Linked DNA regions of Cricetulus griseus. The protein of the gene in region 1 binds, or shares a complex with, the protein of each later gene. Links are inferred from orthologs where the notes say so. Each region holds a gene or a part of one and is shown on either strand. Other genes may lie near its edges.

Region 1 (4,417 bases):
AGTGGTGTGGTTCTACTCACCATTAGTCACAGCACTTGGGAAACAGAGGAAGTCAGAGTTTAAGGTCAACCTGGTCTACATAATGAGTTCAGGCCAGCCAGGGCCACAGAGTGAGACTTGTCTCAAAAAACCATAAAAACAAAGCAAAACAAAACAAAAAAAAAAAAAAAAAACAGCACTGGAATTATAGGCATGGCCTAATGTTTTTGCTTGGGTTTTCATTATTGTTTTTGTTTGGTTTGGTTTGTTTGTTTGTTTTTCCTAAGGGTTGTGATAACAGGTGTGCACTGCCTGGCTGACACTTAGTTTCAACATGATTAGCACTGGGGACTCTGCCACCACTAGCCCCAAGTAGTAAGGAATTTGGGAACCCCAGATTTCCTTCCCATTTTCAGAGTCTATTTTGTCCCCTATCCACTCCCAGGGAACAAAACTGTAACACTACCACCATCTTCAGGCTCTCTTTGGAGGTCAGGGAAAGATTGGGGACCTCTGGTCATAGACTGTAGAATTAGTGCTCTAAGATGGCATTAGGGATGAGTTAGCCTGAGCACATACTACTGAAAACTAGGGAGCCAGAAGTCAGAATTTTGGTGTCTAAAGAATGGACTCAGCACTCTGTGAGGATATGTTTATTTGGGGACCAAACTTAGAGAAGTGGCCCAGGTAGGAGACAGAACCCAAGTGTAGAGATGGTGAGTTTGGGGCACCTTGTGTGTGTCCCTTGAGTTGTTGTGGGTCTCAGGCTGAGGGAGTGAAGCTCTTAGTGAGATAGGGTGTAGGTGTCTTAGTTACTTTCCTACTGCTCTGATGAAACTCCATAATTAAAGCTTCTTGGGAAGGAAAGGGTTTATTTGGCTTACATATCCTGAATTACAGTCCATTGAGAGACATCAAGGCAGGAATTCAAACAGGGCAGGGACCTGGAGGCAGTAGCTGATCCAGACACCAAGGAAGTGTTACCGGCTGTTACCGGCACCCATGGTTTGTTTGTTCAGCCTGCTTGCTCACAGAACCCAGGACCACCAGTCCAAGGATGGCACACTCTTCATGGCTGAGCCCTCCCACATCAATCACTAATTAAGAAACTGTCCTACAGGTTTGCCTACAGCCATCTAATAGAGGCATTTTCCTTTTTTTTTTAAGATTTTATTTATTTATTATGTATACAACATTCTGCTTCCATGTATATCTGCACATCAGAAGAGGGCACCAGATCTCATAGCGGATGGTTGTGAGCCACCATCTGGTTGCTGGGAATTGAACTCAGGACCTCTGGAAGAGCAGCAAGTGCTCTTAACCTCTGAGCCGTCTCTCCAGCCCTGGAGGCATTTTCTTAGTTGAGGTTCCCATGTCTCAGATGACTCTAGCTTGTGTCCTCGTGAGTTGAGTTGGCATAAAACTGGCCAGGACAGAAAGGTATGAAGGCTGCTTAGGGAAAGAGTTTATTTTGGAGGTAGGAGAGTCACCAGGGATTTGCAATGGCCTGAAATTGAGGACTGGACTTTGAGGGTGATGGAGTCTTGGGAAGACTGGAGGGCTTTGCCAAGTCTGGGTGCTGGAGTCTAAGCCATCCAAAGCCCTGAACCCTGCGGTTGCATGGAGGGGTTGGAAAAGAGACGGGTAGGTGTCCCTGACTAGCCAGGCCTTGTCTCCAGAATCTCTCAAGTATGCGGGCATGTCTGGGTCCCCTGTGGGCAAGGGTGAGGAATGCCGGATTTGGACTGAGGGAGGGCGCTGTCTGCGCTGGTCCTGAGTGGGAGGAGGGTCCGTGAATGTTGCTGGGGAGGGAGGGGGTGAAAGCGAGGAGGGAGTGGGCGACCTCTAATGAGTTGTGCGGGTTGCCAGGCCTGCGCAGGGCCCTGGTGCGGGGGCGTCGGGGAACAACGCGGTGTCCCTGAGGAGTTGGGAGGGGACCCGGGGGTCTGTGAGGTCCGGGATCTTAAGTCCCCGGATCTTTGAGGAGTTGTGCGGGAGTGAGTGGGGGGTTGGGAGGAGGACAAGGGCTCTGCGTCCCAGGGTGTTGAGGTCCGTGAGTCCCCCGGGTCTATGCGACGCCGGCTCTCACAGGTCCCGCGTCTGTGCGGTCCGGGCTGAGTCCCCCGGGCCCCCGGGAGCCTCCGCCACCCCGGATCTCTGAGTCCCCGCAGCCCCTGGTCTCCGCCGGCCCGGGGCCTCGGAGGAGGCGGGCCCGCCGGGTCCTCGCCGTCCCTCCCGGCCGGTGCTGGCGCCGCCCCGCCCCGCCTGACATCAGTTCCTGCCGCCGCGCACAGCCCGCGTCTCCTTCCCGGCTCCGCGCTCGGAGGCGCGGCGGCGGCGGCGGGCGCGGAGCGAGGCCCGGGCGAGGCGAGGCGAGGCGAGCGAGGCGGGCGGCGGGCGCCGGGCCCCGCGGCCGGCACGACGGAGCCCCGCACGGCCGGCGGCAGCGGTTGGCGGCGGCCCGGGCGCCCGGCGCGGGAAGCGGCGACGGGCGGCGGCGGCGGCGCCATGGAGCCGCGGGAGGTGAAGGACCGAATCCTGGAGAACATCTCTCTGTCGGTGAAGAAGGTGAGCGGCCTCCTTCGCCCGGGACCCTGCCCGGTCCCCGTCGTTCGCCCCCCCCCCCCCGCTTTGCCTCTGTGACCGGGATCCCGGGTCACCGTCCTCCCGGCGACCCCGAGCCCTCCAGGGGACGCGGGCGGCTCCCGGGAGCGCCGCGGCCTCCGAGCTATTTTTAAAAAAACAAAGTTGAGGTCAGCGTCCTCGGAGCTCCCGGGTGCCCGACCCGGCCTTGCCTTCCCGAGAGGGACCGGTGACACCTCGGGAAGGCTCCGGGAGGAGGAGCCGGCACAGAGAGCATCCCTAAGGATGGATGCAGTCATCCATCCTTCCTCAGGTCAAAGACCGAGGACCAACACTTGCTGGCCACATCAGCTGTGCTAGGCGACAATGCCTGGCGTCCTGGGGAGTCCCCAAGACATTCTACTCCAGGATGGCAGTTTAGAAACAGCTGATTGCAGAGTTCTGACTGGGGACCTGAAGTGCCTAGGGATGTATTTTTGGATAGTGAGCTGTGGACAGAGTGACACTAGGATACTTTGCGTTGGGGCTTGTGCCTATTGGTCACTGCCCCAATCCCTGGTAGAAATGACTACCTCTCAAGGGCATGCACGTGGATGAGGAGACAGGCCAGCCTCACAAGGTTTGGGTGTGGTGGTGCATGTCTGTCATCCCAGTACTCAGGAGGCCAAGGCAGAATCTTGAGATCCAGGCTAGCCTGGACTACATAGTGAGACCCTGTCTCAAAAACAAAAAGTAGGCGTAGGAATCACAAACCAAGAAGGATAACACGCCAGGTGGTAGAATTCGTATTCTCAGAAAACCTACATGGGCAATCAGAAGGGATTTAATTTCTATGTAGTTTTTACTACTTGAACTCTTGCCTTGTCTAATTTGAAAAGATTTAACTGGGTTTCCTTTTCTGCTCTTTTTTAAAAAGTTAGATTTTATTTATTCTGTGTATGTGTATATGTATATCTGTATTGTGCCCACATGCTAGGTAGGAGAGTGGAGGTCAGAGGACAACTTTTGAGAATCGGTTCTCTCCCACCATATGAGTTCCAGGAATTAACTCTGCTTGTCAGTTGTGCTAGCAAGCACCTTTTCCCACTGAGCCATCTCTCTGGGCCTCTTGCTTTGCTCTGCTTTGCTTTGCCTTCCTTCCTTCCTTCCTTCCTTCCTTCCTTCCTTCCTTCCTTCCTTCCTCCTTCCTTCCTTCCTTCCTCCTTCCTTCCTTCCTTCCTCCTTCCTCCCTCCCTCCCTCCCTCCCTCTCTCCCTCCCCCCCTCTTCCTTTCTTACTTTTATAGTCTTACTATGTAGACCAGGCTGGCCTCCAATTCTACTTCCCAAGTGCTGGCATTAAAGGTACATACCACTATGCATGACTTCCTTTAAGGTTCTTTCTCCTTCTAGCTTGGCATAGTGACACATGCCTTTGTCCAGCACTTGGGAGGCAGAGGCAGAGGCAGGCTGCTTTCTATGAGTTTGAGGCCAGCCTGGTCTACACAGTAAGTTCCAGGACAGCTAGAACTACATAGTGAGACTTTCTCTTGAAAAAAAGAAAGAAAGAAAGAAAAGATTCTGCTTCTAGTAAGACTTACTGTGAGTCAGGATGTTAGTCAGGGCTACTTAGTTTGAAGGCAGCTGGAGCCATGCAGTGAGATTCTATCTCAGAGGGACGGAGTTCAGCTCCAGCAGGAGACACCAAGGCTTCTGCAGCCCAGTCTCATCTGTGCTCTATGTAAGAAGCAGCCGTGGCAGCCCCAGTAAGATGGTGTGGCCGGGAAAAGCACTTGCAAGCCTGAGTTGCTATGAAAAGTGGAGGGCCTGGGTTCAATCCCTAGAACTCATGATGGAAAAAGAGGATTAAATTAGAAA
Region 2 (4,404 bases), on another chromosome or scaffold:
TTGGCTCCAGGTTCTTCTCTGTTCCTCATCAGTTTTCTTTATAATTTTCTGTGCATTGGTGTTTTGCCTGCATGGACGTCTGTGTGAGGGTGTCAGGTCCCCTAGAACTGGAGTTACAGGCAGCTGTGAGCCGCCATGTGGGGGCTGGGAATTGAACCTAGTCCTTTGGAAGAGGTGTCAGTGTTCTTAACCACTGAACCATCTCTCCAGCCCCATCAGTTTTCTTTCTAGTGTAATGTATCACATGGTATTTTCTCATTTGCTAGCTATACATTATGTTCCCCACTGTGCTGTAAGCCCTGGGAGGGCAGTGATTTTGCTGTTACTACTGTCTCTGTTTGCTTGGGACATGTTTTTCTAGGTTCACTATGTAGTTCAGGTTGGTCTTGAATTCACCAAGCAAAACTTGACCTACGATCCTCCTGTGTCACACTCCAATGGGTTTACAAGTGTGCACCCCACTCCTAATTCAGAGCTTCATCATTTTCATTGTCATCATCTTCATCATCATCAGACAGAGTATCATGAAGCTCAGAGTGGCCTTGAACTTCTGAACCTTCTTCCTTTATCTCCCAAATGCTGGGGTTACTGGCATGCATCACCATACCCAGTTCTATGCAGTAATGGGCACTTTAATCAGCTCAGGGGTGGAACCCAGTGCCAGGCAAGTGTCTGCATCGCCAACCCAAATTCTGATTTTTAAAATTCTATACTTAGAGTATTAACATTTTCTTTCAGAGTGCATTGTCAATGAACATTTGTAGAAAAATCCAATCAGGACCAACTCATTTTTTTTTAAAGAGTTATTATTATGCGTCTCTGTGTGGGGGTATGTGCATACAGGGGTCCACGAGGACGAGGTCAGAGAACCCTGGACCAGGATCCCCTCGAACTGAACTTCCAGGCTGTTGAGGGTGCCAGATGGGGGTGTTGGGTCCCGAACTCAGGACCTCTGAAAAAGCGGCAAGCACTCTTAGACTCTGTCTGAGTCATCCCTGCAACCCCGCATGTTTTGTTTGTTGAACTCCTGATCTTCCTGCCTTCACCTCCCAAATACTGAAATTGCTGGCATGCTTCTAGCTGAGGAGATTAATAGGTGGGGAAAAAAAATGGCTAATGAACTTTTATGAAAGAGCAAAGGCTTACTATAAAACTGAATCGACATCAAGGCGACTGAAGGCTGTGCCCAACCTCACCACCAGGTGGCACTGTCGGCGGCGGGCTCTCGGGATCCGCCGGGCGGCGCCGCTCTTGCCGTGCGCTTCCGAGACTGGGCTGGGCCAGGCGTGGGGGGTGGGTAGGGCGAGTCATATGACCCGCTGGGTTTCCTGGCTCTGGCCGTCGCTGCCGCCCGCTTGTGTCCGCCCGAGTCGCGCCGGGGGGCCCGCCGAGGAGCCGTTAGTGGGTTCAGGGCCGATTGCCGCTCGTGGGAAGCAGTGACCGCCGTCGTCCGCACCCGTCCCCGCTCGCTCCCGGCCGCCGCCATGCTGGCGCTCATCTCCCGCCTGCTGGACTGGTTCCGCTCGCTCTTCTGGAAGGAGGAGATGGAACTGACCCTCGTGGGGCTGCAGTATTCGGGCAAGACCACCTTCGTCAATGTCATCGCGGTGAGCAGTCGTCTGCGGGCGACCCGGCCGCCGACCCGGGCTTGTCACCTCCCCGAGGGCCGGGCCGGGCCGTGCGACCCTGCGCATGTGGGCCTGGGAGATTGTAGCTTAGCGGGTCAGCGGCCCGAGGGCCGATTCCGCTCTGCGTTACGGTGGGCGCTGTGCCTTTAACGCGGCTCGGAAAGGGTTAATCCGAGCCTGTCACAGTTGCGGCCTTGGGGCTGCGGAAGCTGAAGAGTTAACTCCAACCTGTCACTTGCTCGCCCGCCCGGACGGGCTAGTCCGGCCTTCTCTAGAACGTCTGCCAGAGGAGAGGGGGGAGCCACTCTGAAATCTCCACTTGGGACGGAGGAGTCCCATTGTGAAAGCAGGCGACCCGTGTGGGCGCCTCTGTGGAATGCCAGGGGGAGCCTTGGCGCCTCCAGTTCGCTTGGTCTTTGTCGCTTGTCCGTGGAGAGCCGAAGATCAAGCTGATGGCCTAGCACACTTGGTGGACGCTGCTGGGGAGACCATTCAGTTCCTAGTATTTATTAAGGCAAGGAGTCAGGGCGAGGCGAGTTTCTGTCTTCCCAGAGTTGTGTTAAGCGAGTTAAGATAGATGGAGCTGCATTCACCATGAAGTTAAGTGTCCTGCAGGGTTTGATCTTGAGAGAGATTCTTTTTCTTTTCTTTTTCTTTTTCTTTTTCTTTTTCTTTTTCTTTTTCTTTTCTTTTCCTTGTAGAGAAGGAATTTGTTTGCAGGGAGACGTAGCTTATGCACACTCGGGGAAATTGCCTTGAGAACTTAAATATAATGTGGTGGTTAATTCCGTGGGAGAGTGGTTGTTGAGTTTTTGCCGTTCTGATTGGTTGGGAAAGGAATGGGAGTAAGTGATTTCTTGTCAGTCGCTTAGAGCCTAGGAGTCACCGCGCAGTCTTAGGGCTGCACTTACAGGGTTGAGCTGTACAATTGGAGACAAGTGGCGGCAGTTCTCAGACCTTGGGAGAGGGTGGTTGCAGAGTAGACAGCTGGGCTGTCTGACTGGTTTGGCCACAGGAGTGATTCAGGTACAGTGCCATGGGAGAAACTAGGCAACTTGTGAGTCAGTATGTGTAGTAACAGAGCAACAGGCGTGAACAGGACCTGTAGAAAGAGGAGCAGAAACCCAAACTTCTTTTGGAAAAGACTAAATATAAGTATAAAGAAAATTTGTCTGCTTCATGTTTGGTGCCTTCTGTATTGCCCCCCCCCCCATAATAATCGTATTCTCTAATACGAAGAGAATAAGGCAGAACAGACTTTATGATCTCTTTCATATTAGAGCTTTTCTGTAGCCTTTGAGGTGTTTATTTTCTGTTATTTACCTGAGATAAGAATTGGAATTTCCTCCGGGGGTTGGTGGCCCACACCTTTAATCCCAACACTCGGGAGGCAGAAGGTTCTCTCTGAGTTCGAGGCAAGTGTGGTCCAGGCTTGTTCCAGGACAGCCTCCAAGCCCCAGAGAAACCCTACCTCGAACCCCCCCCCCAACAAAAAAAAGAATTGGAGTTTCCTTGGAAATCCCATCTCTTGGACAAGATTGAGTTGGGACACGTGGGCGTGTCAGCATGGTCAGTTGTATTTGCTGTGGAGGAGTAGTTAATGTAAGAACCTGCACCAGTGAGTAGAATTCAAGAGACACACTGCTTACTTTCAGGCTTCTGTCATCACCAGACAGTATAGCTTAATATAACAATTAATATTAATTAATTAATATTACTTTCATCACCAGACAGTATAGCTTAATATAACAAGTCCGAACTTTATGCCACGACCCCGGTTTAAAATCTGGATCTGCTACTTAGCAGCCTTGGATCCTCTTTGAGTTGACTGTAATCTTATCTATTAAATGCAGATAACAATATATTTCTTAACGGAATTGCTCTAAGGGCTAACTAAGAGAAGTAGGGAAGTAATAACTTGTTAATATTTGTAGTGGCTGTACTACTTAATGCAGACACAAGGAAATATTAAGAAAGGAATCAGTATGGGTCTTCTCCTTTGCCTCTCAGACAAGTGTGGTCTGCAGTCATGGTTTTCTGGTTTGTGGGAATAAAGTACCCGATGCCCTCCTCCTTTTGTATTGGCTTCTTTTAACAGTTATCAAATGTCTCCTGTTGAGTTTAGTGACCTTCTGTTATCAATCAATATTAAAGTATTATGTTTGAATTATAGTGTAGATAGCCTCCTAAAAAAGAAACTCCCACAAAAGAGGCTATGTTTAACTTACTTTAATCATTCCAAATTCTATATATAATAAAACATTACATAAAATATTATGTAATGTGAAACACACTCACACACACACACAAATACACACACAAATATAATTATGATCTGTCAGTTAAAATGCTAATGTTCTAGACATGGTGATGCTTACTTGTAATTCCAGCACTTCACAGGCTGAGGCAGGATGGTTGCTACAACTTTGAGGGTCAGCTTGATCTGTGTCTACTATAACAAGTAACCAGACCAGTCACAGTTACACAGTAAGACTGCTCCCCCCAAACAAAAATAATTTAAGAAAAGAAGAAAAAAATGTAGACTGTAAATTGGTGGTGGGGTTTAAAATGCTGAGAAAGGGGGCTGACTCCTTAGACACGAGCTTCCCTTGTGTCTCTTTTTCGCCATTCTTTCTTTTGAGGCAGGGTTGCACTTGGTGGCCCAGGCTGTCCCTGACCACACTAAGTAGTCCAAGCTGGCCTTGAACACATGGTGATCCTCTTGCTCAACTCTCCCAGGTGTTGGGATTGAAAATATATAATTTAAATTTCAGTA

Evidence for each region.
Region 2: the proteins of Plekhm2 (region 1) and Arl8b are in contact, whole or in part, in a crystal structure (PDB 8JCA), measured with the Homo sapiens proteins. The link is inferred for Cricetulus griseus from reciprocal best matches to the Homo sapiens genes PLEKHM2 and ARL8B. Residues at the interface, in NP_055979.2 of Homo sapiens: His70, Phe71, Thr72, Arg73, Arg74, Glu75, Glu103, Ser105, Glu107, Ser108, Tyr109, Arg111, Leu112, Glu115, Glu147, Phe148; in NP_060654.1 of Homo sapiens: Glu22, Thr52, Val53, Gly54, Phe55, Asn56, Met57, Lys68, Trp70, Arg77, Phe78, Arg84, Tyr85, Arg87, Gly88, Val89.

What each region holds. Positions count from the first base shown.
Region 1 is NC_048595.1:11,590,646-11,595,062, forward strand, and holds the start of Plekhm2 (pleckstrin homology domain-containing family M member 2), read left to right. Parts: upstream 1-1,342; 5' UTR 1,343-1,599; coding exon 1,600-1,623; intron 1,624-2,383; exon of another isoform or gene 2,384-2,487; coding exon of another isoform or gene 2,488-2,547; intron 2,548-4,417. UniProt on the Homo sapiens protein: Plays a role in lysosomes movement and localization at the cell periphery acting as an effector of ARL8B.
Region 2 is NC_048601.1:35,693,425-35,697,828, reverse strand, and holds the start of Arl8b (ADP-ribosylation factor-like protein 8B), read left to right. Parts: upstream 1-1,305; 5' UTR 1,306-1,484; coding exon 1,485-1,607; intron 1,608-4,404. UniProt on the Homo sapiens protein: Small GTPase which cycles between active GTP-bound and inactive GDP-bound states.